Macaca mulatta: one gene and its partners. The main gene of each other region encodes a partner of the protein of the gene in region 3 in a complex. Links are inferred from orthologs where the notes say so. Each region holds a gene or a part of one and is shown on either strand. Other genes may lie near its edges. The genes, in order: CCNF, RB1 and E2F1.

What was found.
Region 1: the proteins of E2F1 (region 3) and CCNF are in contact, whole or in part, in a cryo-EM structure (PDB 9CB3), measured with the Homo sapiens proteins. The link is inferred for Macaca mulatta from reciprocal best matches to the Homo sapiens genes E2F1 and CCNF. Residues at the interface, in NP_005216.1 of Homo sapiens: Gly84, Arg85, Pro87, Val88, Lys89, Arg90, Arg91, Leu92, Asp93, Leu94, Glu95, Thr96; in NP_001752.2 of Homo sapiens: Met309, Ile312, Leu313, Asp315, Trp316, Glu319, Val320, Met323, Arg349, Leu352, Gln353, Trp379, Leu380, Thr381, Asp382, Thr384, Asp504, Tyr505, Val508, Leu510, Thr511.
Region 2: the proteins of E2F1 (region 3) and RB1 are in contact, whole or in part, in a crystal structure (PDB 2AZE), measured with the Homo sapiens proteins. The link is inferred for Macaca mulatta from reciprocal best matches to the Homo sapiens genes E2F1 and RB1. Residues at the interface, in NP_005216.1 of Homo sapiens: Ala267, Pro268, Pro269, Glu270, Thr271, Gln272, Leu273, Gln274, Ala275, Val276, Asp277, Ser279, Glu280, Asn281, Phe282; in NP_000312.2 of Homo sapiens: Ser829, Arg830, Ile831, Leu832, Val833, Ser834, Ile835, Phe845, Ile848, Met851, Val852, Asn854, Ser855, Arg857, Val858, Leu859.

The regions. Positions count from the first base shown.
Region 1 is NC_133425.1:3,657,449-3,667,484, forward strand, and holds the start of CCNF (cyclin-F), read left to right. Parts: upstream 1-4,892; 5' UTR 4,893-4,923; coding exon of another isoform or gene 4,924-4,939; exon of another isoform or gene 4,940-5,006; intron 5,007-6,551; coding exon of another isoform or gene 6,552-6,706; intron 6,707-8,694; coding exon of another isoform or gene 8,695-8,801; intron 8,802-10,036. UniProt on the Homo sapiens protein: Substrate recognition component of a SCF (SKP1-CUL1-F-box protein) E3 ubiquitin-protein ligase complex which mediates the ubiquitination and subsequent proteasomal degradation of target proteins.
Region 2 is NC_133422.1:27,493,379-27,503,314, reverse strand, and holds the start of RB1 (retinoblastoma-associated protein), read right to left. Parts: upstream 9,644-9,936; 5' UTR 9,501-9,643; coding exon 9,364-9,500; intron 6,119-9,363; coding exon 5,992-6,118; intron 1-5,991. UniProt on the Homo sapiens protein: Tumor suppressor that is a key regulator of the G1/S transition of the cell cycle. The hypophosphorylated form binds transcription regulators of the E2F family, preventing transcription of E2F-responsive genes.
Region 3 is NC_133415.1:86,444,824-86,454,288, forward strand, and holds the end of E2F1 (transcription factor E2F1), read right to left. Parts: intron 8,507-9,465; coding exon 8,416-8,506; intron 8,065-8,415; coding exon 7,845-8,064; intron 5,803-7,844; coding exon 5,650-5,802; intron 4,981-5,649; coding exon 4,866-4,980; intron 4,771-4,865; coding exon 4,545-4,770; intron 4,421-4,544; coding exon 4,173-4,420; 3' UTR 3,120-4,172; downstream 1-3,119. Other genes in the region: NECAB3 (N-terminal EF-hand calcium-binding protein 3), read right to left, coding at 1,658-1,798. UniProt on the Homo sapiens protein: Transcription activator that binds DNA cooperatively with DP proteins through the E2 recognition site, 5'-TTTC[CG]CGC-3' found in the promoter region of a number of genes whose products are involved in cell cycle regulation or in DNA replication.

The DNA of each region.
Region 1 (10,036 bases), on a different chromosome or scaffold from region 3:
GAGTGGCCTGATCAGGGCACCAATGCCTTCCTGTCTGCACCAGCCTTTGGCATCCCCAACCCTGTCTGAGGCCCCGCCCTCTCCACAGCATGGAGGCGTGTGAGGTCCTGTGCACCCAGCTGGCCATCATGGTGCAGGGGCAGTTCAAGTGCCTGGGCAGCCCCCAGCACCTCAAGAGCAAGTTTGGCAGCAGCTACTCCCTGCGGGCCAAAGTGCACAGCGAAAGGCAATAGGAGGCGCTGGAAGATTTCAAGGTCTTCGTGGACCTGACCTTTCCAAGTGTGTTTCAGCCCCAGCAGCCCCCACTGGGTGGGCCCTGGGCCCCTGCTTAGGCCTCTTCCATCTGCCGTAAGGAGAATCTATGCCTCACCCCTCCCATGTCCCATCTCCCCAATCCCTGGGATGAGGACTCCAGTGCCGAGCAACCACGTACCCTCTGTGATCCTCCAGCCTGGCCGTCACAGCAATGCCATCCCTCCTTCGTGCAGGCAGCATCCTCGAAGACAAGCACCAAGGCATGGTCCATGACCACCTGCTGGGCCAAGACCTCAGCTGGGCAAAGGTGAGCGCACATTTTTGACGTGACCCACTTTCTGGGGTAACTCTGTCTCTCTCTCTCCCTCTCTTTCTCTCCTCTCCATCCCCCTGAAGTCATGTTCAGCACTGCCCTTGTCCTCTGCCGTCTCCATGGCAATGTTCACGTGGTTATCATAGAACAGAAGGTGTTTCCCCTGGAAGGGACTTTGAAGATTGGCTCCTCCTGCCCCCTCATTTCACGGAGAGGACAGCAGGCCCAGAGAGGGAACACCAGATGCCTGGGGACACACAGCAAGCCAGGGACACCCACCAGGCCTCTGACCTTCTGGCTCCATTCCCACCCAAGAGCACAGACAGCTGAGATCCATAGCACTGACTTCTTGGGAGGTGTTCTGGAGCAGCTGAAAGAGGGATGGGCCTCTTTGGGGCCGTGTCACAGTCCCAGAGGCCAGCCCTTCCCGCCTTCTCTCCTCCCCTGCGTGCGTCTGTGGGACAGCCTGGCCACAGCAGCCTCCTTCCTCCCCTCAGATGTTTGGCACTCTAGAGCAAGCCAAGAAGAAGTACATGCTGGACAATTAGTCAGGTCACCATGGAGGTCATCTTCCTGAGCTTTGCCTGCCCTGTGCCCCTGGTCCAAAGTGAAGACCAATGACAGCAAGCAGAGCAAGCGGGCTCCTCATCGTGCTCGCTGCCTCCCTCCCTGCCTCCCTCTCAGCTTTTCTCTCAGCCTCCCTCCCTACCTTCCTCAGAGCCTGTCCTGCTGTAATTAAGACAGACCAGTGCCAGGTTGGCCCAGGTGTGCATGGCCTGCCCTGGGTCTCCAGGGCTTACAGAGGCAGCTCTCAGCCCAGCTAGCTCAGCACAGGGCTCTCCCCCTAACTGCAGTGCACGGAGCAGAGTGGGGCCCACTGGAGAACTTAAGAGGCCCGCTGGGGAACCCAGGTGCGTTTCCTTAGAAAGGGATGCCTGAGTCCCACCTGAGTAGCCTGTGGTCTTGTTGAGACCTGGCTGTGGAAGCAGCCTCAGAATATCTTGCACATCCTTTCCAAAGGCGGCGGCCAGGGAGTGACCACAGTAGTAACCATGACCCGACCAGGTGCCAGCTCTGTGGACGGTCCCCTGCAGGCATCATGTCATTTGATCACACCACCCTCAGGCCCGGCCTGAAGGGGACTGTCCTGGTCATCCCCTTGCTCATGGGCAAGAAGTCTGCAGGGCAGAGGGAAATGCTTACCCAAAGCTTGCGTTCTTCCTTCTCTAGAATCCCCTGCCCAGATAATTTGTCCGTCCAGTGCACTCCCTCCCAGGGCAGGCCATGCTGCCCGATGCACCCTGAGACGCGAGGTGCAGCAAAGCAGCAGCTCTGCAGAACTGCGGGTGGAGTTTGGATGGGTGCATGGGGGTTTCCACACAGATGTGCAGATCCCTTGGAAAGCAGGATAGAGCCAGAAACAGAGAGGAGGGTGCCCATAGGCCAGGGTGGGGCTGGCTCCCATGGTCACATGGAAGAGTGGAGCTTCATGGAGACCATGATTCTAAACTCACACCTGGCCTCCCAGGTGGTAATGACACTGTTCTTCTGAAGGAAGGAGGAAAGAAATATTGACAAGCTTGCTAGCCTAAGTCAGGATGTTACAACATTTAAGTATTTGGATGTGTGGGCTTTCATCCTCTTCCCCAGCTCCTGCAAATTTAGGGCTGCATGTGATCCTATATCCACCCATGAAGTGAACAGCGCCCTACCTCCCACATGGGTAGACTGACTTAGAGGCAGCCAGTAACTTCCCACATCAACAGGCAGGGGAGCCAGGGTTGCACTGGGGCAGAGGTTTTTGCAGTGGGTTCCCAGCAGCAGCAGCACCATCAGGAAACTTGTTAAAAATGTAGGTTATTGGGCCCCATCCAAAACCTACCGAATCAGAAATGCTTGGGGCAAGGCCAGCAATCCTGTTGCAACAAGCCCTATAGCAGGTGTTCTGACCTAGCTCCAGCGTGAGAACCACTGAGCAGAGGCCCCATGGGCGCCAGACCATCGCAATGTCCACATGCAGATGGATGTGGCCACATGCCTTTGTCACGTACACTCTCCTATCCTCTGAGACGGGCTCCATTCAGCGGCCTTTCTCTCTCTGTGGAGCTCACTCTGCCCCTTGCCACAGGCCCCTCAGCTCCCCTCTGAGAAGTGCAGATGCTGGTCTCTGTCTCTTCTCAGCCAGGACTCAGAAAGTATCATGCACGAGCCTTGTCTATGCTTCCTGCACCCCTTGCCCAGAACAACAGCGTCACACACCCATGGTCACCAGCCCACCTTCTTCTCAGTCTTTGTTTCAGGTGACTGCCCCCTGTGATGAAAGCCACTCCCTGGGCTCCCACATCCAGCTGTCATTTCTCCCATGCCCCTCTCTGCCTCCACTGAAGGCCCACCTTCTCTGAATGTGGGATTTCTCAGGCTCCCAAGCTACTTCACTTTCCCTTACTCTTCCCTGCCCCTCACTACCCATGTCGTTTTCAACTGACACCTCATTCCACCAGGAATTTCCCTGAGCTTCTAACAGTTTAGACTTTTCCAACAAGGTCTCACCTTCCTGAAGCCCAATGGGAAACGGGCCCACACCCTGGAGGAGCCACTCATCACCCCAGGGCAGCCAGTGCAGGGTGCGGGCCGAAAGCAGGCATGGCTGCAATCAAGACAACTCCTGCTCCCTGAAAAAGAAATTTGCCTCTCCATATTGAAAGGAGAGTGATCACTACACAAAGCACAGGATAGAGCTAAACAACAACCTAGGGACCAGGGACGCTGTTCTAGATTCTAGAGGCAGCTGGTGTGGCTAATGTGGTCATGGCCGGTTCTAGTTGATTAATCCCTTCAAGATGCTATGGAAGCTAACCCTGAAAGTGCACCTCTGCCCTAGGGGGAGACAGTGGCAAAGTAGGAAACAGTAACCCAGGAGGACAAAAGTGAGAGGAGGGGATAAGAAATCTGGGAGCTGAGAACATGAGACATCTGGGGAGCAGGACCCAAACTTGCTCAGCCTGTTCTCTCTTCACCCTCCTTCATCCGCTTCCTGATTCCAGGACAGGGAATAGTCCCAACTTCCAGGCCCTCTCTGGGGCCACGGACTCTTCTGCGCCCTGTGCTGTGATCACCTGTTTGCTCTGTCTCTTGCTCCAGGCTGGCTGTAGCCTACACACCAGGGCTCCTGTCTGTGTGCCCAGGGCAGGCCCAGTACTTGAAGGGGTTCTATGGGGACTCAGAAGGATGGAAGGGTGCAGACTGAGGGAAGCGTGAGGGAGGGGTAGGCAGCCTTGGCCCAGGCCCCTGCCTTCCCCAGGAAAAGCCCCTCTGTCCTCCACCAGACACTCAGGAGGCTGCGTGTCTTCCCCTTGACAGCCTGTGCCGTGAAAGGGGTGGGGTATGGCTGATTCCTGAAGGACAGCTCGGATGAGCTCTGCCTAAGACAGGAGTGAGCAGATGTGACAGATCGCACGGCGAGCAGCTACCAGGTAGCAGCCGAGGAGGCGAGACAGGGGGCAGCATCTGGCCAAAGTGAGGGGGAGGGCTTGCCCCGGGGCTGGGGCACTGAGGCGTCCAGGGTGCGCCACGATTCGCGGGAAGAAGGGGTCAGCGTTCCGCGGGGGAGACTTCCAGCGCCAGCTCCGACCTCCTCTTTCCCTACCACGATCCGGGCCAGCATCCCCGCCCAGCAGCGGCTCGGCCACAAACCCAAGGGTCTCCACCTGAAGCAGGCGGCGGAAAGGATGGCCGTGCAGGCTGGGGGTGAGGGTCGCGGACCCAGGACCGACCCCGGGACCCGGGCAGGGCACGGCCTCGTTCTAGAAGCGCCACGTCGGGGCTGTGCCAGGCTGGATCACGGCCGCGACTGCGAGGGACGCCAAGGAGTCCTCTTTCCCCTGGCCGCAGGCATGCGCCTTCGGAGCCCATCGGGCACCGCAGATGCCAGTCGCCGGGGTCAGCGGCGAAGCCCGGACCCATGCGGCCGGGAGAGGACGCCTAGAAACCCCTGCGCGCCGGCCGGGAGCCGCGTTCCTCCAGGACCCCAGCCCCGCTGGGGAGGCGGGGCGGCCACGCGGATTCCACCAGTCAGCGACCAATGTTCGAATTCGCGTCCTGGCGCGGCCAATGGCGGGCGCCCGGAGCAGGCAGTGTGGGCGTGGAGGGCGGTAAATAAGGCGAGCCCGGGGCGGGACGTGGGCGGGGCAGGCGGCGGCCCCCCCGGGCAGGCCAATGGGAGGGCCGGGCGCGTTTGAAAACTGGGGTGGGCGGTGGGGCGGGGTCTGCGCCTGCGCGAGGGCTCCGCGCGCGCTCCAGCCGGGGCGCGGGCGCGCTCGCAGGCGGGCTCAGGCGACAGAGACGCGAGCGCGGCGATGGGGAGCGGTGGCGGTGAGTGGGAGGCGATGCCCGCCGGTTTCTGCCCCACAGCCGTTCTGCCTGCCCTGCGGGGCAGACGGTGGGTCCCGCGGGAGGGGAGGCCCTGGCGGCCTGAGGAGGGCCGGCTCGAGCTCTTTAACCCGGGGCGGGTGTCGCGTCCGGCGCAGGGAGCCCCCGCGGCCGGGCGCGCGGTTTAAATGCCCGGCGGGCGCCCGAGCCCCTCGTCGCCTTCCCTCGGGGCGACGTTTTCCGGCCCTTTGCCGGAGCGGCGATCGGGTCTCGGACGGCGATCGGGTCCCGGGGCGGCGATCGGGTCCCGGGGAGCCAAACACCAGCGCCTCCTGGTCGGGGTTGGGGCTGCGGAGCGCGTGGGGTCGAAGCGATCCCGCGGCCCGGCCCGGCCCTGACTGGGCCTCGGTCCAGCGGGGCCGTGGACCTAGCTCTGTGGAAAGCAGCGTTCGGCCCCGCGCGCGATGAGGCACAGGAAACTCGAGCTGTAGTTTGAGCTATTATCACAGTATCTGTCCGGGAGCCGGAGAATGAGGAATATTTTATGGAGAGCTCTATAGAATCTTTGAGAGTTCGTCGCCCTGGAATACGTTTGGCTTTTGCAGCTCTTTTAATTGCTGACAGGAAGACCCGGGTCGGGAGAGGGGAGCAAGGAGCAATTGCTAGGAAGTCCTGGTGGGGAGGGATTTGGGCCCACAGAGGGGAGTGGCGTTTCCTTTCAGGACTGGAAGAATGGATAGAAAGGTAGATTTGTAGATGGGGAGGCAGGATCCTGAGGTTCCTGTCTGAGGGCTTCTGTTTCTCTATGAAATAAGGGCTAAGGTCATCTGCTTAGAGTGAGGAAGGGGTTGCTGGAGTAGGAGTTAGAAAAGCCGGCTGTGGGAAGAGGAGAGAGCACATCTGAGAAGCATGGCTGGGCTGCCTGCCTGGTGGGTGGAGAGCCCGTCTCACCTTTAACGATTGCACCTGTAGACAGACCTACAGGTCTAGGTTTGTGTTGGGACCTGAGCAACAACCTTGCTGCGTAGCTGTCAACTCTGCATTCTACAGTGGAGGGCACACTGAGACTCTGCAGAGCTGACTTGGACGCACACTACCCCGGCCTCCAAGCCTGTGGCTTCTCTCCAGGGCTGACCCTTCTAATTTGGATTGAAAACCAGACTCTACAAGCCCACAGATCCTTATTGAACATTATGCACCTTGGTCATGTGTGCAAAAAGCAAAGATGTCCAGCAAAGGCCCCAGGGGTTTTCCTAAGAGTGAAATGGAAGGAAAACGGTCATCAGCCTCAGCAGCTTTTTCCCCTTCCTGACTGTCATGTGGGCTCTGGATCAGAAAGTTTCCCAATAGCCAAGTTACATGATATGCGCTATTTGCCATAAATATTTGTTGAATATTTGAAAATGAATGATCTCTTCTGTAATTTGTGCAATGCCACTCCTTTTACATAATCTTTGTTTGGGACAGGAAGCATAGTTCCGTTTTTGTGGCACAGGGAATCGTAACCATTAGATCATTTTCAGGTGTAACTTTTATCCTTTTTTTTTTCCCTTCAAGGGTATGTATATAGAATAATTTTTCGTCTTATCAACACTTCTGTCTTTTTTTCCTTCAGTGGTTCACTGTAGGTGTGCCAAGTGTTTCTGTTATCCTACAAAGCGAAGAATAAGGAGGAGGCCCCGAAACCTGACCATCTTGAGTCTCCCTGAAGATGTGCTCTTTCACATCCTGAAATGGCTTTCTGTAGAGGACATCCTGGCTGTCCGAGCTGTAAGTCCCTGGATGAAAACAGCATGAGCCCTAGCACTGTTACCATCAAGGCCTTGTGTTCTTAACTGTCAGAACAAAACTTTGACTAAAAAGGAGGTCACGGGCAGAGGCCGGGCACGGTGGCTCACACCTGTAATCCCAGCACTTTGAAAGGCCAAGGGGGGGGGGTGGATCACCTGAGGTCAGGAGTTCGAGACCAGCCTGGCCAACTTGGCGAAATCTGTCTCTACTAAAAATACAAAAATTAGGCGTGGTGTCTCATGCCTGTGATCCCAGCTACTAGAGAGGCTGAGGCAGGAAAATGGCTTGAACCATTTTCAAGGTTGAAGCAGTGAGCCAAGATCTCACCACTGCACTCCAGTCTCCAGCCTGGGCAACAGAGCAAGACTCTGTCTCAAAAAAAAAAAAAAAAAAGGGGGCAAAAGGAAACAAGGATGATATCATTACCATTACCATATGCTTTCTTTAAGACATTCTGATTACAGAAATTTCCATTCCTGTCTCCCAGCACACTAAAGTTGCCTCTGTTCATTACAGTGTCAACAGAAAAGTACCTTTTTTTTTCTCTGAGACAGAGTCTCGCTCTGCCGCCCAGGCTGGAGTGTGGTGGCGCAATCTCCACTCACTGCAAGCTCCGCCTCCCGGGTTCATGCCATTCTCCTGCCTCAGCCTCCCGAGTAACTGAGACTACAGGCGCCCGCCGCCACACCCGGCTAATTTTTTGTATTTTTAATAGAGTCAGGGTTTCACCATGTTAGCCAGGATGGTCTCAATCTCCTGACCTTGTGATCCGCCCACCTCGGCCTTCCAAAGTGCTGGGATTACAGGCGTAAACCACCATATCCGGCCAAAAGTACCCTTTTATGGCAGTGAAATTTGCATCCCTTAAAAGATAGTGTTTAAAAGAATAAGAAGGCCAGGCGCGGTGGCTCAAGCCTGTAATCCCAGCACTTTGGGAGGCCGAGACGGGTGGATCACAAGGTCAGGAGATCGAGACCATCCTGGCTAACACCGTGAAACCCCGTCTCTACTAAAAATACAAAAAACTAGCCGGGCGAGGTGGCGGGCGCCTGTAGTCCCAGCTACTCCGGAGGCTGAGGCAGGAGAATGGCCTAAACCCGGGAGGCGGAGCTTGCAGTGAGCTGAGATCCGGCCACTGCACTCCAGCCCGGGCTACAGAGCAAGACTCCGTCTCAAAAAAAAAAAAAAAAAAAAAAGAATAAGAATATATTCTTGAGGACAAATCCCATGTAACATTTAACACTTAAATGAACTCTAGGAGTTATTTTCTAGATATTGGAACCATAGGCTTACTTTGAGTGACTTAACCTAGAGTATACAGTGGATTCATGGGAAAATACCAGCAACAACCCATTTTCTGACTCCCAAAGTCACCTCCATTGCAGGTGTGACGCACTTTATGGACCCCAGGGAGTTCTGAATTTCCAGTGGCAGTGGAAACTTTGGTGCTTAAAATGCTCAACTGTGCTCCAGGTCCTGGCCTGGACACTTCCTGCGCTGGCCCAGCGCAGAGGTTCCAGGTTCTACCTGAGACCTCCATCACGGGTGGTGTTCTTTGCCCTGAGTCCCTGTGACCTGTTTCCACACTCCCACTAGCAAGGCCTCCAGTGGGGAAGCAGAAAACACATTTCCGTCCTGCCTGCCCCCGTTTAGAGTGTTTCCCCTGTCTTTGGGGGTGACACCTTTGCAGGGATGTGGAACCGTCTTTCTCAGCCTAGGTGTTTGTTTCCTCCTTCCAAGATCATTGTCCTCTGCCCTGCTTTAGAACCTCAGAGAAACTCGTTTCTGGGCTGTTTTATCTGTTCAAAGCGACAGTTACTTTCACACAGAGATTGGGGACCTCGACTACTTGGGATGGGGAGGGAGACAGGAGACCCTACATCTGTGTCTTGTCCTTAAGAACCTCCAGGCGTGGAGCCTTCGGGTGGTCCCTCCATGACCCAGCCCCGGCCCCTGTTGTTCTGCAGGTACACTCCCAGCTGAAGGACCTGGTGGACAACCACGCCAGTGTGTGGGCATGTGCCAGCTTCCAGGAGCTGTGGCCGTCTCCAGGGAACCTGAAGCTCTTTGAAAGGTATCTCTGCACCCTGAGAATGGCTCGGTCTTCTCCTGTCTTGGCCTCCCTATGTGCCAGTCTGTGTCTCACGGCCTGATTCAGTAATGATTTTCCTGTTGCTATCTCCCATGACATTGCCTCATCCCCTGGGGAGTGACTGAGGGGAGGGTGGCAGACCTCACGCATCAAGCCGCACAAGCCACACGCCTTCCAGCAGGCCGTGCAGTCAGTCATCCCTCACGCCACTGATCCATTCCCACATGACCCAGACATGAGTCCTCTTCCTGTGGAAACTTCACTCAGCCTTCCTTCCCTTTGGTCAAAACCATGTGATTTCTATCCTATAATGTTTCACTCACTGGCTGATCCCACCCCAACCTGCACCCCACACCCTGGCCTCCTGTCCACGTGTGCTCATGGTCCCAGGTACCAGCTGCCCTCAAAACAAACCAAGGAACCACAGTTCGGCAGGGATTTTTCTTTTTTGTTTGTTTGTTTTTTGTTTTGTTTTTTGTTTTTGTTTTTTTCTTGAGACGGAGTCTCGCTCTGTCACCAGACTGGAGTGCAGTGGTACGATCTCGGCTCACTGCAACCACCGACTCCCTGGTTCAAGCGATTCTCCTGTTTCAGCCTCCCGAGTAGCTAGGACTACAGTCACGCGCTACCATGCCCAGCTAATTTTTGTATTTTTAGTAGAGATGGGGTTTCGCCATGTTGGCCAGGATGGTGTCGATCTCCTGATCTCGTGATCTCAGGCGGGGATTTTCTGACAGGGATTCACTGTGGTCCTTGTCCACTTGAGTTGCCAGAACTCCAGATAGACAGCCAACAAGGGCAGGCAGCCGTGTTGCCGGGGCCATGCTTGGGCTGCTTCCAGGGGAAATGTATATATTTCTTATTGAGACATGATCCACACATCACACAGTTCACCCATTTAAAGTGTAGAACTCAGCCGGGTGTGGTGTCACACCTGTATTCCCAGCACTTTGGGAGGCCAAGGCGGGTGGGTCACTTGAGGTCGGGAGTTTGAGACCAGCCTGGCCGACATGGCAAAACCCTGTCTCTATTAAAAATACAAAAATTAGCTGGGTGTGGTGATGGGCGCTTGTAGTCCCAGCTACTCTGGAGGCTAAAGCATGAGAATTGCTTAAACCCAGCAGGTGGAGGTTGTAGTGAGCCGAGATTGTGCCATTGCACTCTAGCCTGGGTGATGGGGTAACACTGTCTCAAAAAAATAATAAAAAAATAAAATG
Region 2 (9,936 bases), on a different chromosome or scaffold from region 3:
GTTAGTCACGGCCTTCTTAGATACAGCATGAAAAGCCCAAGCAACCAAACAACAACAACAACAACAACAAAAAAAACAAATAGAAAACTAGACTTCATCAAAATTAAAATCCTACGCTCCAAATGACATCATCAAGAAAGTGAAAAGGCAACTCACAGAATGGGGGGAAGTCTGAAAATAATATATCTTATAAGAGACATGCATAAAGAAGAAGCTTTAACTGCGTCTTAAAAACAGAATTTAGGCTAAAGGAAAAAAGAAGGGTATTCCAAAAAAAGGGGGAGACAGCATGAATATAAATACTAAGGGAGGAGAACACAGGCATTGGGGGCCATCAATGGAAATGAAAAATAAGACTGGAAGGAAGGTTAAAGCACAGACTATGGAGAACTACAAACACTGAGACAGTTTGGACTTTACTTCTTCATAATGGTGGTGGGAGCATGGGTGGGTGTTACAATGGAGGCTATTGAGAGTGGGTTGTAACAATGAAAAATAAATTTTAAAGCAAAAGGGGCAAACTGTAAACCAGTCTTTTCTAAAACTCAGGCACAGGATGGATGAGATGGAGAAAACAAGAGACTAGTCAGAAAGAGGCACTAAAACATGCATTTAAAAATGCCCAAGTCAATGACATAAGCTTCCACCTTCTGAAATTAAAAAAATAAAAAGGAAACTAAAACCAAAGCAAACAGTAAAAAACAAGCACTGCTGGTAAGAGAAAGGAAGGGACAGATGTGAGAGGCAATGCAAAAAGATAACTTGAGACTGAATGGATAGGTTTAAAATAGGAGTCTGGCATAGTTTTAATTAGTCCTATGGATAGACAATATCAGGGCAAACCTGTAAAGGAAGCAAATGGTAATGTAAAATTCCACTTCTTCCTAGAATGCAGAAAGCTGCAGAGTATTGCTCCCACCCTCACAACAAGAACAAGCCAGATAAGGAATAAAAACATAACCTTTCTTGATATCAACATATCCTTTGCTTATATTTCAGATTAGTTTCCCCTAAAAAAAGGAACCTCCAGTGAGAGAAAAGATATAAATAATGGCTCATCTGTGGCACAGCATGAAAGGAAGAGACACAGGGAACCCTAACAAAAGTAAAAAGTATTCAGCTAAAAATTTTTAATGAATGCTGATTACAAAACAACAAAAATCCATTTAAATATAAAAAATAAACAGGTTAAAATCAAAATGAAGGTAAAAGATATATAATGTAAACAGTGATCACAAGAAAAGTGGAATGGATATGTGGACACTGCAGAACAAAAGATACAAATTTGGATAAAAAAGCACACTGCATAATGATAAAGGTACCAATTTACCTAGAAGGCATAAAAATTCTAAACTTGTATGCACCCAAGAATAAAGCTTTAAAATACACTAATAAAGGCCAGGTGTGGTGGCTCATGCCTGTAATGCCAGCACTTTGGGAGGCCGAGGAGGGCAGATCACGAGGTCAGGAGTTCAAGACCAGCCTGACCAACACAGTGAAACCCCGTCTCTACTAAAAATACAAAAATTAGCCGGGTATGGTGGCATATGCCTATAATCCCAGGTACTCAGGAGGCTGAGGCAGGAGAATCGCTTGAACCCGGAAGGCGGAGGTTGCAGTGAGCCAAGATCGTGCCACACACTCCAGCCGGGGTGACAGAGCAAGACTCTCTCAAAATAAAATAAAATAAAAAATACATTAATAAAAAACAGAATTTAAAAAGGCCATTCTAATTATAGTTGGAAGCTTCATATTTCTCCCTCAATAATTAGTAAAATACACAGAATGAAAATCAGTAAGGATATGGATGACCTACTTTACCTTTTCTATGTATAGATACACAAATACTTACCATTGTGTTACAATTGCCTACAATGTTCAGTACAGTAACATGCTGTACACGTTTGCAGACTAGGAGCAACAGGCTATATACCACACAACGTAGGTGTGTCATAGGCCATACCATCCAGGTTTGTGTAAGTACATGCTATGATGTTCACACAACAATGAAATCACCTAATGACACATTTCTCAGATGTGTCCCCATTGTTAAACAACACATGACTGTATTTATTTAAAATATAACCACCATATCACAAAAATAAGTGGCTCTATCAAGGGCAATATATCCCAAAGCTCTTTGAGATATGTGTATACCCATATATTTCATATACATATATACGTATGTATAACAAAAAGCCTATGAGGTTCATATTCAGGCATTATTTCTGCCTTACAGGTTAGCAAACTGAGACTCACAGAATTAACCAATTTGCCTAAAATCATATAGCTACAATATAATTACAACCAAAGTTTTCTGCCTTGAGGTCCAAGGCATTTTCCATTCTACCACACTGCCAATGAAGATGCAGAAAGTACACCAAAATTCTAACAGCTGATTCACCTTAAGTCACAATATGAACAGCACCTTAGCCAATTTCTTAATGGAAAGTCCTATTCACATGCTATAAGCAGCATGAACACAATCTAACCTTATGAACAAAGTTAATCTTTATTATTACACTTCACTAAATATTTATTTTAAAAAAAAACATTTTTCTAGACAAAATACCACAAACTTTAAAGGGATTAATACATGCTTTCATGTATGCATAAACAACTTTTCTGACTCTAAAGTACTTAAAAATAAGAGTTTTAACAAACATACTGCATCAAAATCACAACAATGCATTTAAAATTATAACCATTTTATACTGATATCCTAAATTCTCCAAAAAAATTACATTAATGATAAAATTTTCTGGGGTATTTCTTAAGTAAAATTATTCTGTTTCCAAGACCTAATATACACACTCATTGACTCTAATAAGAGCTTTATATGCATTAATTTATTTAATCTGCACAATAACTCCAAGATCCAGAAATTATTGTCAGTCCCTTTTACAGATAAGAAAACTAAGGCTTGAGAATTGTAGATAACATGTTCAGGGTAATGGAGTTAGGACATGGTATATCTGTTTGACTCCTAATCCTTGCTCTTAACCCATCCTCTATCCCAATAAACATCACCTACTTTCTATTGTTAAAAAGGGGCTTCCTTTTTTGACAATATTCCTCCTCTTGTTTCAAAGAAGACAGACAACTGCCACTAGAATAGCTGCATTGGAAACATATTCATTCTGTCATTACATGTGCCTCTTAGAACACACTCTATCACATTCTCCCTTAGATATTATTATATAAATGAACATTAAATTCTCAGGCCAACCCTCAAAAACTTAACTGTCACTTAAAATCATATTTCAAGGAAAAGTCTGTTGATTTATAACACAACAACAGGACATCATCTTCTGTTATACCCTTCAAAAGCATACCTCAAATCCCAAAAGTAACAAGAAATTCCTTTCTTACCTTCCTCCAGTACCTAGCCATAAATAATTTCACACATCCTAGTCCCCATCATGAGCTCCATTAGGAAATAAGATTTAAATTGGGCCAGTTCCCAGGGAAGGTAGAGACAAAGCCAGGATGAAAAAAGGGTAATAAAGCAGTAATATTTGCTTAAATATGTATTCAATTCTGAAGCTCAAAAGAGCCTCTACTGTTAAAACTATTATTTTTATAGTTTAGTACAAAAAAAATAAGTTATGTGAACTAGGCTGGAAACCTAACTACTATATCAAACTTACAAACAGATTTGGAACACAATGCACTTATAAATTGAAAACTACAGTATGTATACTCACTAATACTCTCTATAATCAGCTATCCCAAAATTTCAGAACACCAAAAATCTAGTATTTTAGGAAGAGAAAAGTGAAGGAGCTCTGATTCCATTTAATTGTATATGCACAAAAACAGCTTTGTACATGAAGTACCCAAGTCAGTTAAAATATACACTAGATGCCTGGGGATTATAATACCCAAGTCATACATTCAAGATACTTCAGTATTCCTTTCTTTTTAGATAAGAAATGTGAGACTATGTTCAATTCTTTGGAAATTATGACACTTGTTTTCTCCTTTTTACTGCCAGAGATTTTATTTAATGGTTTTAAACACTTTTCTTATGGGACATACATAAACACATTCTGTTGTGTTAATCAGATCAGTAAAAACATATATACTTTTATACTACTATTTTGAGAAAGTAAATTCATTAAAAGTATCTGTCCGAAGTGTAATCTACCAATAATCATCAAGAGTCATAAAAATGTTCATAGCTTTTGATTTAGTAATTCATCTTATACGAATTTATTCTAATAAAATAATCAGAGATTCATTCATTAATTTATTTAACAAATTATCAAGGACTCACTTTGTGCCAGGCATTAGTCTTACGAATACAAATGTTTATTACATTATTTTATAGCATCAAAACGTTGGAAAAAACCCAAATATCCAGTAAGAGTTAACAAATTAAAATATATCCAATAGCTAAAATATTATACTATCACTAGAAACTATATTACAAAAAAATTTAATAACGTAAGAAAATGCTCATATGAGAAAAAAACAGGAAAATGCAAAACTATGTGTAACTACATGTAACTATACATAACTACATGTATAATCTCAAATTTATATTTGAGATCTTATTTCCTAGGGACCTTGGTCAAGTTACTCAACCTCACTCTACTCGGTGTCTTCATCTGTAAAAATAAAGATTTTATATTTCATATCTCAATGGTTTTTAAACGAGTTATTTGTAGATTTGTAAAGTTGATTGTTTTGTGTGTGTGTGTTTTTTTTTTTGAGATGGAGTCTTCTCTGTTGCCCAGTCTGGAGTGCAGTGGCATGATCACAGCTCACTGCAAGCTCTGCCTCCTGGGTTCAAGCGATTCTCCTGCCTCACCCTCCCAAGTAGCTGGGATTACAGGCATCTGCCACTATGCCTGGCTAATTTTTTTATTTTTAGTAGAGATGGGGTTTCACCATGTTGGCCAGGCTGGTCTTCAACTCCTGACCTCAAGAGTTCAACTCCTGACCTCACCCACCTCAGCCTCGAAAAGTGCTGGGATTACAGGTTTGAGCCACCACGCCCAGCCTTATTTTTGTTTGTTTGTTTATTTACTTATTTATTTATTTTGCAACAGGGTCTTCTTCTGTTGCCCAGGCTGGAGTGCAGTGGTGCGATCTTGGCTTACTGTAACCTCCGCGTCCCAGGTTCAAATGATCCTCCCACCTCAGCCTCCCAAGTAGCTGGGACTACAGGCACACGCCACCATGCCCGGCTATGTAAAGTTCTTATACTATTGCCCCAGTACATATAAAACTCTAGTAATTATTTGCTTTTATTAAACATATACATTTATACATATGCAAAGAAAAACATGAAAGGAATATATCAAAATATTTTCAAGATCCTGAATTCTAACAAAACTAATTCTGAGTCAATCAGGAAATCTGAACACTGATTGCATATTAGAAGGTATAAAAATTATTTTATAAGGTATGGCAGTGTTTTTTTAAAAGTCCTTGTATTATAGTGAATAAAATATAACTAAGACCTGCTTTAAAATAGTTTGGTGGGAGGCATATATGGAGGGATTTTTTTCAAACTTTTTTTTTTTTTTTTTGAGACGGAGTCTCGCTCTGTTGCCAGGCTGGAGTACAGTGGCACAATCTCCGCTCACTGTAACCTCCACCTCCTGGGTTCAAGCAATTCTCCTGCCTCAGCCTCCCAAATAGCTGGGACGACAGGCGCACACCACCACACCCTGCTAATTTTTTTTTTGTATTTTAGTAGAGACAGGGTTTCACCATGTTGCCCAGGCTGGTCTCAAACTCCTGAGCTCAGGCAATCTGCCTGCCTCGGCCTCCCACAGTGCTAGGATTACAGGCGTGAGCCACCGTGCCCAGCCTCAAACATGTTTAATGTTAGCAGAGGTAAATTTCCTCTGGGTAGTGAAATTATTATTAGCTTTTATTGTCTTTATATTCTTCTATCTTTCAATTTTTATATAGTGATGTGAAGTTGTTTTTAAAATGAGAAAAAAAAATTTCAAAACATTTTAAGAAAATCCTTACCAATACTCCATCCACAGATGAAACTTTCTCCCAAGTTAACCAAGCTCTCTCTCTGACATGATCTGGTATCTTTAATTTCTGACATAACGCAGTAAAATCAGGTTCTTCGGTTTCTTCAAACTCAAGCCTACCAAATGAAAATAATCATATAATTGGCATATACTTATAAGTCAAATTGATTCAGTACACACTTGTTTCAATAGTTTGCACATAACACTACTGTGAAAGAGAACATTATTAAATACTTTAAGATCTTATTTTATCATAGAAAAAATTACACTTCAAATTTAAACATGATTATCTTTTTCATGGTCATTCCAAAACAAGGATACCACACAGTGAAAAATATTTGCTTGCATGGTAAGTCAAATATACTTCAGAGCAGCAAAACACTTCTGTGAAGGAAAATAAATGTAACAGCTAAAGCTGTTTGGGAAAATAGGACAAAGATAACAAGAAGATAAAAACCCATAGATAATATTATACAATTCAACACCAGTAACTTTGTTAAGCTGTAGTCTACTCTTATCAATGTTTCACATAACCTCCCTACTAGCACATCTTACATGATGTGACTGCTTATTTTTGTCCTTTCTCCTTAACAAAGACAAGCATTCAATAAATTCTTGTTGGCTAATTCCTTTTCATTCATCTAATTTCTATGTGACATCTAATAATAAGAATAGTACGAAGAATAATTCATAATTCTTGAGTATTTACTATGATCCTGTAGAAAGTACCTTAAACATATGGTTTCACTGAATCCTGACATCAGCCCTTTTAGATAAGTATTCTCATCTGTAAAAGTAGACATTTACAGATGTGTGTCAAATCAGAGAAGTTAAAGAACTTACCTGAGGTCTCAGCCGGTAAGAGGTAAACCACCATGTGAGCCTAACAATCTAACTCTATAATCCATGCCCTTGACCACTATTCTAGATTGCCAATTCCTCCTTCAAAACATAATTCGTTGTTTTTTTTTTTTCTTGTTTTGAAATAGGGTTTCACTCTGTCATCCAGGCTGGGGTGCAGTGGTGAAATCATGGCTGACTGCAGCCTCAAACTCCTGGGCTCAAGGGATCCTCCCACCTCAGCCTCCTAAGTAGATGTGCTTACAGGCGTGCCACAGCGACTGGATAATTTTTTTTTAAATTTTTTTGTAGAGACAGTGTCTTGTTTTGCTGCCCAGGCTCCTCTCAAACTCCTGGCCTCAAGCGATCTTCCCACCTTAGCCTCCCAAAGTGCTGGCATTACAGGCGTGAGCCAACATGCCTGGTCAACTTTTTTGTTTGTTTTTTTAAAGACTGGGGTCTTGCTTTGTTGCCCAGGCTGGCCTCCAACTCCCAAGCTCAAGCAATCCTCCTGCCTCAGCCTCCTGAGTAGCATGGACTACAGGTACATGCCGTCATGCCCAGCTCGAAACATGATTAACCTTTGATTATTTCAACAATGAATGTTGTATGCTGTTCCTAGTGACACTTTCCCTTCCAGCTACATTACTTAGGCCAGAGATAAGGCAACAGAAATAAGATCTCAACTCTCAAATTAGGAATGGAATCTGTCACTGGAAGTGCAGTTGGACTGAGCCCTGATTCCATCTCCAGGCAAGATGCTCAGCATCAGACTGCACGGCAGTGGTTCTACCCTTGCTGGTTAATTTATAGAGTTCAATTGTCTATGTTAATGAAACCCTTTGTGGGTAAGGATAATCAAGAACAGACTGTATCTTGTATGGATCTGACTTATAAGAGAATTTTTTTATAGTTCCATTACTTAAAATATATAAAATAATGAGTTAAAAAATGAAAGAAACAGTCCTCTTTTTTCCAAGCAGTGGTCAGAACGTCAATATTCCTGGTTACCCTACATTAGAGTATGCTTCTAAAGCTGTGTGCATAACATGGAATTCTTTAGAGTAGCCATTACTGCATTTTCCAAAGGGAAATTTGCAAGAATTGGATACATCAGAATTTAATCAGAAACTAAAGTCATGTCTTTTCCCAGAACATGCCCCAGACGTGGTTTTTAATTTTTTTGTTGTTGTTGTTGTTTTGGTTTTTTAACAAATATGGTTTTTAACTGACCTATAAGACAGTCCATTTAAATATATAAATTTTTAATAGCCTTCCACGGGCCATTTCCTAAATCCCACTTCAATCTTTTCTGCCGTTAATTCTGTTAGTGTCTGCCGAGTGGAAAGAAATGGGTGAGGGTGAAAGGATTTGGTGATGGGCAAGAATAGGGGAGAAAATAGTGAAAAACAGAAACAAGTCCCATTCCCCCTGCAATGAACTTGTAATCTCAAAGTAGAACCAGTGCTGACAATAATAATGACAATTACACTCTTTCAGTCATAGCTATTTAACCATAAAGTAGTACAATCAAGAAAAGTAAGATGATGCAATACAATAAATACTTCCCTTCAAGTTCTAGTGCATTCGCATGGACTTGCTTAAATTTAGATTCCATTTAATAAGGGAAAACGAAAATTTCCATTTGAGCACAGAACCACTAATTTTGTGCCAAAAACAAAGGCAAAAAGACGGGACACCAGGATCGTTGCTGGTTCAAAGTCAAAAGGCAAAATGGAAGTAATAATGAGACAAGCTGAGGCCGACTAACACGCAAGAAGAGTTCATCCAACAGAAAAAAAAAAGTTTAGAAACTTTCAAGCACTTCTGGTAAACGTCTCACGAAAGTTCTGCCCATGTATCAGTTCCTCTAAAGAGTTACATTCCATCAATCACTACAGATGGCTTTGAGTCCCCAAGGCCTCGATGCATTATTGTTCTAAGGAGAAGCCGCAAGGCTCCTGAGCCGAGTATCCTGCAGGCAATGGACACTCAGGACCCTGTGCTTCTTGTCCAAGGCTTTCTGGTTGGCCTCTCCCACGAATGGAGTTCAGATGCAGTGCACGCCCAGAAGAAAATACTTCCCAACTGTTGCATCGCGTGAGACCAAAACTGAAAGTCAGACGACCACCGGAGTACTCCAGTTCTCAACCGGTGAAGAACTCTCCCACAGACACCATTTTTGTATTTTTATTTTTCATTTTTTTGCGTCTGATGGACGCTCGCAACGACCCTCTGCCTCTGAGCCTCACAAGAGGGAACTGCACCTGTCACTTCGTTCAGGACCCTAGACCCACCCGCCCGACACGTGTCAAGTTAAAGCCAAGACCCCTCGCCCGCAACCCCAAAATCCTGTCACCATTCTGCAGACGCTCCGCGGTGGCGGGGGGCAGGGAGGGCGTCTCCTCACGCCGGGACTCGGCCCCCGGCGAGGACGCGTCCCGCCGAGCAGCCTTGGCGCCAGCCCTACGCACACGGGGCGCCCTTCCCGCGTGAGGCGGCGGCGGCTCTGCTCGCTCACCTGACCAGAGGCAGGTCCTCCGGACCGCTGTCCTGCTCTGGGTCCTCCTCAGGAGGGGGTGGCGGCGGCGGTGCCGGGGGTTCCGCGGCAGCGGCGGCGGCGGCGGCGGCCGTTTTTCGGGGGGTTTTGGGCGGCATGACGCCTTACCGAGGCGGGAGCCAGCGAGCTGTGGAGGAGAGCCGGGGAGGGCGCAGCGCGCGCACGTCGGGGCACGCCCCGTCCTCTCCTGACTCCCGTTACAAAAATAATTTCAACGTCCCCTGAGAAAAACCGGACGCGCAGTCCCCCGCCCGGCAACTGAGCGCCGCGTCCAACCGCGGGAAAACGTCACTTCCGCCCGCGGCGTCACGTCCGCGAGGCTCCCGGGCCCGCCGGCGTTTGTGGGGAACTGGGGCGCTGGTCGGTGCGCGGGCTGGGACGCTAGATGGGAAGGGATAAACTGGGAAACCTGGCGTGGGTCCAGGAGCCTTCCCAGAAGCATCCGGCGCAGCCCGGACGTGTTTCTACCCGGAACCACCCCCTCCAAGCCGAGCTGCCCTTAACTGGGCTATACAAAGAGTCTGGCGGGTGACT
Region 3 (9,465 bases):
GCCCAGCTCAGCCCTGCAGGAGCTTTTCCGGCAAGCAGGGCGCAGGAAGAGCACGCAGCGGGTGCCACCTCCACTCACTTCTCCTGCAGGGCCTGGCCTCGTTGGGGGTGCTCCTGGCCAGTTCCCTGCGTCCCCACCTCCCACACCCAGAGTGCAGCCCAAGTTCTATCTAATACCTCAGCCCCTGGCACGGTTCCAGCATGAGGAAGGTTGAGGAAATGGGCCGGCTTGCGGCCCAGGAATCCTGCACAGCCGTCCTAGACCTGAGCCCCGAGCTCTGCTGTGTGGCCATGGTCTATCCCAGCTGCCCTCTCTGAGTTGTTTCCTTGCATGCTGTTGAAGACAGCAGGCAGTGGCTACTCTGTCTCTGCAGGTGTCTGAGTTACCCACTAGCAAATAGATCAGGAGCAGCTGGGGTTAACTCTTTCAGGGCTGGGGCTTCCTATGGGGCTGACAGTGAGGACCTTTGGCAGGCGTGTGTGTACACACACAAGTCCAAGGGGGAGTGGGGGTGGCAGAAGGCAAGGTCAGCAGATTTCATTTATGAAGTGAAGATGAAGAGCAACAGAGGCAAAGAGGAGCAGAGTCAAGACAGGTCCCCATCTCTCTTAGTGACCTGCTCCCAGGTCACCCAAAGCAGCCCAGCAAAGGGGAGACTGGCAGGCCTGGCAAGCAGGGGTGGGCCAAGCCTGGGCTGAGAGCCCCCAGGAACTCCAGGTCCTGAACGCCAACCCCCTCCAAGATCCTGTTTTTTCAGCGTCAGCAGGGCTCAGAAAGACTCTAACCTCTAGCCTAACTCAGAGAAGCTCTGCCACTGGCTGAGGGACACACAGCAAGCCAGGGAGGCCCAGGTGGGGTAGATGGAGATCTTGGGAGCGGGGAGGGGTGCTAAGCTGGGAATGGGGACACCTGGGGTCACCCTGTTGTTCCCCTGCCTCCATGACTGACCTGGGACATATCCCCTCAGGCCTTGGTTTTCCTACCTGGGAAGAGGGAGGGTCAGGTCCCTTCCAGCCAGGGATGTGGTCAAGGTGCTGAGTCACTAGGGGCAGTGGGAAGGGGGCGGGAGACAGCTTTGCCTCCCTCTGGAGTTGGGGCATGAGGGGGCCAGGACAGAGCGTAGCACAGGTGGAGAAAGGGCTCAGGGCCGTGGCTGGTGCCCATGGGGGCTGCAGGGCCACCCGTGGTCCCATGGGAGGGTGACTCTGTGCAATCCTTACCAACTGTAGGACTCTGCTGCCCTGGAGTGGGGCCTGAAGGACTCTGGGGGCGGCACTAGAGTCAGAAGTGAGGGGACCCTTGTGCTTCCAGGCTCCTCTTCCCCAGTCAGCCCAGCCTGCGGCTGCTACAGAGTGGGGTGACGGCTGCTGTGATTGTCGACAGCTCCCCCCCAACACCAGACACACAAGTAGGGTGGGCTGAGGGGTGGGGGGCAGCAGGGGTAGTGACACTGGAGCAGGGACAAGCGGAGACATAGACGAGACAGAGAGACAGAACAGGGGACACAAAGGCAGAGAGGTCAAGAGAAAACAGACAGCAGGGCCAGAGAGAGAGGCAGAGACCCAGAGACAGCGGCGGGGCCCGAACAACCCCAGAGGGTGAGACTAACAGAGACTCGGGCGGGGAGACACCGCGAGCACAGCCCGCGCCCACTCACGTCCTGGAAGAGCGCGTGTCCGGCGGGCCCGGGGTCTGGCGCGAGCTGCGGGTGCCGCGGGGGCTGGGGCGGGGACTGGGGCTGGGGCTGGGGCGCGGGCGGCCGGAGCAGGCACACGGTGAGCAGCCCCACGCACGCCATGGCAACGCCGCCCGCTCGCTGGGGCTCGGCTGCGGTTGCTCCCGACCCTGGACGCCGCGGCGGACTCTGTGGGGCTGGGGGCCGCCCCTTGGCGCCGGCGCCGACGCGCGGGCTCAGGCCCCGCCCCCGCCCCGCCCCCGCGGACGCCGGGTTCCGGGTCTGGAGATTGAGCGCCGGGTTCCCTCGCCTCAAGGTCCAACTCCAGCGTCGCGGGCCTCCGCGCTTCCGCGGCCACGGCGGAGGGGGAGGTGCCCGAGGGTTCCGGTCCGGCGACGGCCTGCCGGGAGCAGAACCTAGGGGCTGCGCGCCCACCCGGAGGGACAGGGTGACCAAGCCAGTGCCGAAGAGTCAGGGTGATACGAGTGGGTAAAACCCACCAGGACTTCACCTTTCGGGGCGTCTGTATCCTCATTTGCAAAAATGGTACCGGTAGACACCCTATGGGATTGTTGGGACTCATTCAGTGTCAAGTGCTTACAACGGGGGCTGGCGCAGAGGAAGCCCACAGGTCCGTGTGGCCGACTCCCAGGCATCCCGACGCCCGCCCTCTCTGGCACTCAGCGCGGCCCTTTCCCCTCCCCTCGGTGGCTTTGGCCCTCCCTTCAACCCGTTCTCCACACAGCAGCCAGGGGGAGCTTTTAAGATGCGAAAGAGGTACCACTTCGGTCTCCAGTGACTCCTTGGCCCCCGAATAAAGCTTAAGACTGAACGCCCCGCTCCAGGAGCACCACTCTGACCCTCACCTCAGGACCGCAGCCACTACTTTCTCCGGTCCTCTATCCCTCTCCCTCCTGCCCACGGCCTTTGCCCGTCGTGTTCGCTTGTTTTCTTCCTCTGGTTAACTCCTACCTATTCTACAGCGCTGAACTCAAGCACTTCCTGATTTTCTCATTTAAGTAGATCTCCTTCAGACCCTGAGAGCACCAAGAAGGGAGGTAACACTCGTGTCCCCAGAACTGCTAAATACCTGACACAGAACCAGTCCACTGTCATTTGTTGCATGTTTACTAATGTCCAGAAACGTCTGGAAGACAGCAAACTGAGCACAGTGGCCTCTGGGGCTGGGAAAAGGAGAGGCCACTCATTACGCTGCACTTCGGGCAGCACTGAGTAGCATTCTTGGCTTTCCACAAAAACCTTTACTGGATCGGCTTTTGAGTTAGGACCAAAATAGCGATGAAGCTGACCTTTCTTCGAGTTCTGAGACTCAAATCAAATCGAGCAGGGACGGAGAGAAGGGAAGCGGAGAATGGGCATTTCCCCAGCAACCTTGGCCTCTCCCGCCCCGAACTGTTCCCAACAGAGTCCCAAAACCCGACCCAAACGTCATCAAAATATTTATTAAAACCAAAGCAGGAGGGAACAGAGCTGTTAGGAAGCAAATCAAAGTGCAGATTGGAGGGTGGGGCAGAGCAGTGGGGAGGCAGGCGCTTCAGACACCGCAGGAGGGACCACAGGGTCTGGGCTGGGGGAGGCCTTCACCACCCCTCCTGCCCACCACATCAGTGAAGGTCCCCCACTCACCTCTCCCATCTCATATCCATCCTGGGGGGCAGCTGGAGCCCTGAACTGGCCCCCTGGAGAGGCCCCACCCCACCATCCGTCCACCCATGGCTGTCAGTCAGTCTGTCTCCCTCCCTCACTTTCCCAATAAATAAATCACCTAGGCCTCAGCTCCTTCGGTGTGGGGCAGAACAGCTCAGGGACCCCTGTCCTTGCTCAAGGGTAGAGGGAGTTGGGGTATCAACCCCACACCCCTCCTCCCCTTTGCTGATTCCCCAGGCTTGCCAAAGAGGCCTCGATAAATAAATAACGCTCCATTAAAGCTTCAATCAGAAAAAAACCTTTAAGACAGAAGTGCTCTCACCGTCCTACAAGCCCAGCCAGCCAAAGCCTCCCCACCTGGCCTGGTCAGAGCACCAGATTCTGGGAGCAGGCACTGCCCTGGGCCTTGTGGGACCCCCAGAGCAAAAGGGCCGAAAGTGCAGTTAGAGCCCCCCCACGCGCACACATGGACTCATGCACACACATGTGGACACACTGGGGCGTGTCTGCAGTGCACACACAGGTGTATGTTCACCTTCATTCCCCGGTACATGCACACACACATGCTCACACACATTCACCCCGGGTACACACGTGTGGGTGTAGGCTGCATGCACATACACACCACAAACACAGACTCCTTCCCTTCCTGGCTTGCTCAGCCTCCTAGCGGTAGCCAGACCCCAGAGCTAGAAGCTTCTGGAGATAGGAGAGAGGGGTATAAATTAAATGTTTCCAATCAGGCTGGGAGGACGGCCAGGGACAGGGGGCTCCAGGGCTGCAGAGACAAGGTGAGCATCTCTGGAAACCCTGGTCCCTCCAAGCCCTGTCAGAAATCCAGGGGGGTGAGGTCCCCAAAGTCACAGTCGAAGAGGTCTCTGATGCCCTCGCCCTCCTCGAGGCCGAAGTGGTAGTCGAGGGCCTCGTGGGGTGGGGAAAGGCTGATGAACTCCTCAGGGAGGAGGCCGGAGAAGTCCTCCCGCACATGCTCCAGGAGCGAGTCGGCCGCCACCAGCGGGGACAGGCGGTCCTCGTCCACGGGAGCCCGCAGGCTGCCCATCCGGGACAACAGCGGTTCTGGAGAGACGGGGAGCATCACAGGCCGGGGATGCCCCAGCAGGAAGGAAGGCAGGGGCTGTCGTGCCTGCCCACCCCCAGAAGAGGGGCCCTGCCCCACCCCACCCACCTACCCATCACCCACCTTGCTCCAGGCTGAGTAGAGACTGGCTGGGATCTGTGGTGAGGGATGAGGGGGGAGATGATGGTGGTGGTGACACTATGGTGGCAGAGTCAGTGGCCCTGTTCTCCTCCTCAGAAGTGGCCTCCTGGGACGGGGTCTTCCCAGGGCTGATCCCACCCACGGTCTCCTCAGGGCACAGGAAAACATCGATGGGGCCTTGTTTGCTCTTAAGGGAGATCTGAAAGGTCTGGGTGGAAACAGCAGGCAGGGTAAACTGAGGCCCAGGTGACTACCAGCACAGCCCAGCCCAGCCCAGTTGGGCCTGGAGTTCCCAGATCTCACCTCCGAAGAGTCCACGGCTTGGAGCTGGGTCTCGGGAGGGGCTTTGATCACCATAACCATCTGCTCTGCAGGGTCTGCAATGCTACGAAGGTCCTGACACGTCACATAGGCCAGGGTTGGCAGAGTCAAGGACCACATGACCTTTGACTTCTAGGGGGTCACTCACTCCAACAGCTTACAAGGCAGGGCTCACACCTGCCTAGTCACTCCTATCCTCCCAACCTCCTACCCGTTCAAAACCTACCTCATTCCTGAGTTTCAAGTTCCACATCTATATAATGGAATCACTCTACCCATTGAATCCCAAGGTAATGATAATAGCTACCGGGAACGATTCCATGTAAAATGTTCAACACAACTCCAGGCCTGGTGCTGGGAATTCATTTTTTTAGAGGCAGGGTCTCGCTATGTCACCGAGGCTGGAGTGATGTAGCTCAACCAGAGCTCACTGCAGCCTCAAACTCCTGGGCTCAAGTGATCCTCCCACCTCAGCCTTCTGAAGCACTAGGATTACAGGCATGAGCCACTGCACCTAGCCACTTTTCTTTTTTAATCTGTACAATTTCAGAATTGGATATTATTATTTCACTTTTATAAATAACACTGAGGCCCAGAGAGGTTAAGCAATTTATCCAGCGTCACAACAGTGAGAAAATGCTGAGCCAGGACTTGCAACCAAAACAACCAGAGCCCTCTCCTGAATCCAAGCCTCTCTAGTCCCACTTGGGTGGAGCCCCTGCCTGCTAAGCCTGCCTTCCACACCCTACGGCCAATCCAAGGATATCGCTGGCTGTCAGTATCCTCGGAGAGCAGGCGCAGCTGCGTAGTACAGATATTCATCAGGTGGTCCAGCTGCTGCTCGCTCTCCTGCAGCTGCCGGAGGTCCTCGGTCAACCCCTCAAGCCGCCCGCTGACGCCCACTGTGGTGTGGCTACCCCTGTGGGGAGGCACCAGGGAGGGTAGGGTTAGCAGCACTTGGCCCCTCTGGCCAGGAGCCCTGGCCCTCAGGACAGAGTCTGCTGCCACCTCTGTTCTGTGAGGCCCAGGCAAGCCCTTGCTTCTCTCTGGGTCTGGTTCCTCAGCTGGGCTCCAAATCAGAGTGTCATGGGCTTGAAGTCTGGCCCAAATATAAACACCTTCATGTCCCTCAACCAGGGTGGGATAAATGATGGAACTGACATGCCACGAAATATTACACACACACACAAGCATTTCCAAGACATGCTGTCAAATGAAAAAAAAGAAAAGGCTGGGCTTGGTGGCTTATAACTATAATCCCAGCACTTTGGGAGGCTGAGGCCAGAGGACTGCTTGAGCCTCAGGAGTTTGAGACCAGCCTGAGCAACACAGTGAGACCCTGCCTCTACACCAAATTAAAGAAATTAGCCAGACATGGTGGCATGTACTTGTAGTCCTAGCTACAGGTACAGGGCTTGAGCCCAGGAGGTTGAGGCTGCAGTAAACTGTATTTGTGCCTCCATACTCCAGCCTGGGCAACAGAGCAACACCCTGTCTCAAACCGCACCCCCACCCCACCAAAAAAAACACAAAAGATGCAGAATGGAACAATCTACCAAAAAATGAAAAGGCAGGTGTTTGTATCAAAGAAAGGGTAGTAGCAGGATGACTGGGGCGAAGGCGGGAGGGGGAAAATAAAACAAGTAAAAGAATAAAACATCTGCCGGGCGCGGTGGCTCAAGCCTGTAATCCCAGCACTTTGGGAGGCTGAGACGGGCGGATCACAAGGTCAGGAGATCGAGACCATCCTGGCTAACACGGTGAAACCCCGTCTCTACTAAAAAATACAAAAAACTAGCCGGGCGAGGTGGCGGGCGCCTGTGGTCCCAGCTACTCCGGAGGCTGAGGCAGGAGAATGGCGTAAACCCGGGAAGGCGGAGCTTGCAGTGAGCTGAGATCCGGCCACTGCACTCCAGCCTGGGCGAAAGAGCCAGACTCAGTCTCAAAAAAAATAAATAAATAAAATAAAACATCTATGCCAGACAGACCTCATGAGGGCATGAGAACCAGGATAGTGGTGACCTGGCGGTATGAAGGCTTGGCAATGACTGGAAAGGGGCACAAGAGAACCTTCTAGGGTGTTGAAAATGCTCCTATCTTGATCTGAATGGTGGCAACCCAGATGAATAAATATGTAAAGCTGCGCCAGGCGTGGTGGCTCACGCCTGTAATCCCAGCACTTTGGGAGGTTGAGGCAGGCAGATCATCTGAGATCAGGAGTTCGAGACCAGACTGGCCAACGTGGTGAAACCCATCTCTACTACAAAATACAAAAATTAGTTGGGCGTGGTGGCAGGCGCCTGGATCCCCAGCTACTAGGGAGGCTGAGGCAGGAAAATCACCTGAACCTGGGAGGTGGAGGTTCAGGTGATCTTAGTGAGCTGAGATCGCACCACTGCACTCCAGCCTGGGTGACAGAGTGAAACTTCATCTAAAAAGAAAAAAGTAGAGGCCGGGCGCGGTGGCTCAAGCCTGTAATCCCAGCACTTTGGGAGGCCGAGATCGGCAGATCACAAGGTCAGGAGATCGAGACCATCCTGGCTAACACGGTGAAACCCCGTCTCTACTAAAAAAATACAAAAAATTAGCCAGGCGTGGTGGCGGGCACCTGTAGTCCCAGCTACTCCGGAGGCTGAGCCAGGAGGATGGCGTGAACCTGGGAGGCGGAGCTTGCAGTGAGCCAAGATCGCGCCACTGCACTCCAGCCTGGGCAACAGAACGAGACTCCTTCTCAAAGAAAAAAAAAAAGAAAAAAGAAAAAAGTAAAGCTACAAGTGAGGTGGATATGTAACATTTGTGTGCTTTTTACCATCTATCATCTCAGGGAAGCTACCTCTCCTCTCTGAGCCCATTTCCCTAGCTGTAAGATGGGGATGCAGGCAGCCACAGTGGGTATTACTACCAGCTCCTCCAGGCTGGCATGGGCAGGTGTGCCTGCCCTCCTGTGTGGCCGGTACCTACAGCCACTGGATGTGGTTCTTGGACTTCTTGGCAATGAGCTGGATGCCCTCGAGGACGTTGGTGATGTCATAGATGCGCCGTTTCTGCACTTTCAGCACCTCAGCAGCCCAGTTCAGGTCGACAACACCGTCGGCCGAGCGGCTCAGCAGCTCCAGGAAGCGCTTGGTGGTCAGATTCAGTGAGGTCTCATAGCGTGACTTCTCCCCCGGGGATTTCACACCTGCGGGGGTGTGGTCAGGCAAGACAGGGCCCTTCAGCATCCACCCCCACCTCCAGCCAGGCCTGCTACTCTGGCAGGGCAGGGCCGCAGGATGATAGGGGCTGGGGGACAGCCAGCTCCTTCCCCTTGGCGAGGCCAACCACAGCATTCTTCTTCTGGCCGGGGAACTCCTCACCCCTCAGGGCCTGGAGAAACCAAGCCAGGTGGCCACTCCCACTGCCCATCAGGGTCCTCAGAGGCCTGGCTCAAGCCCGACAAGCCAGATGTTAGCTTGCAAACTTGTTTGTCTGTTCACACCCCTAACCTGGGCCTGGTCACAGGGGGCCTGCCCAGCCCAAGCTTCATAGTTACCTTTTCCTGGATGGCGGCCTCTGCCCCGAGCTGGCCCACTGCTCTCCGCCAGGTACTGATGGTCAGTTTCCAGGTCCAGCCTCCGCTTCACCTGTGGCGAAAACAATGGGAGGATGCCCAGTAACCAGAAGTGAGGCCAGAAGAGACCTGGCTGAAGGCTGGGTGCCTCTGGACTACCCCCGCCTCAGTTTCTCTAGCAGGATGCCTGAGTGTGTGACTGAGGGAGATCAGAGAAGACACAGCCTGAAAGTCACAGTCCTACTACACAGGACACTCAATTTTCACTTCTCTGGGGTCTAGTGGTGGATTTAAAACACATCTGCAAACTTTTTGATCCTTCTCCTTCAAAAGATGAAGCCTAATTCTCCTCCCCTTTATGAGCTAGATCTGGTAACTTGCTTCTGATGAATGGAATGTGGTGGAAGGGATGGCGTGTCACTTTTGAGACCGGGTCAGAGGCACTGGAGCTTCCTCCTTGCTCTGTATTAGGTCACTTTGCCATGTCATATGGACATTCAAGTAGCCCCAATGATAGGCAAGAAACTGTAGCTTCTTCCCAACAGCAACACTTAGTCACAACTTCTGTTAGCAGCCAGACCCCAAACACTGGCTGAACCTCCAGAAACCCCAAGCGAGAGCTGGATAAGTCTTCCCTGAATTCCTGACCCACAAAAACTATATAAGAAATGTTTAGGCCGGGCGTGGTGGCTCACGCCTGTAATCCCAGCACTTTGGGAGGCCGAGGCGGGCAGATCACGAGGTCAGGAGATAGAGACCATCCTGGCTAACACAGTGAAACCCCGTCTCTACTAAAAACACAAAAAAATTAGCCGGGCGTGGTGACGGGCGCCTGTAGTCCCAGCTACTGGGGAGGCTGAGGCAGGAGAATGGCGTGAACCTGGGAGGCGGAGCTTGCAGTGAGCTGAGATCGTGCCACTGCACTCCAGCCTGAGCGACAGAGCGAGACTCCATCTCAAAAAAAAAAAAAAAAAAAAAAAAAAAAGAAAGAAATGTTTGTTGTTTTAAGCCACTATTTTTTTTTCTTTTTTA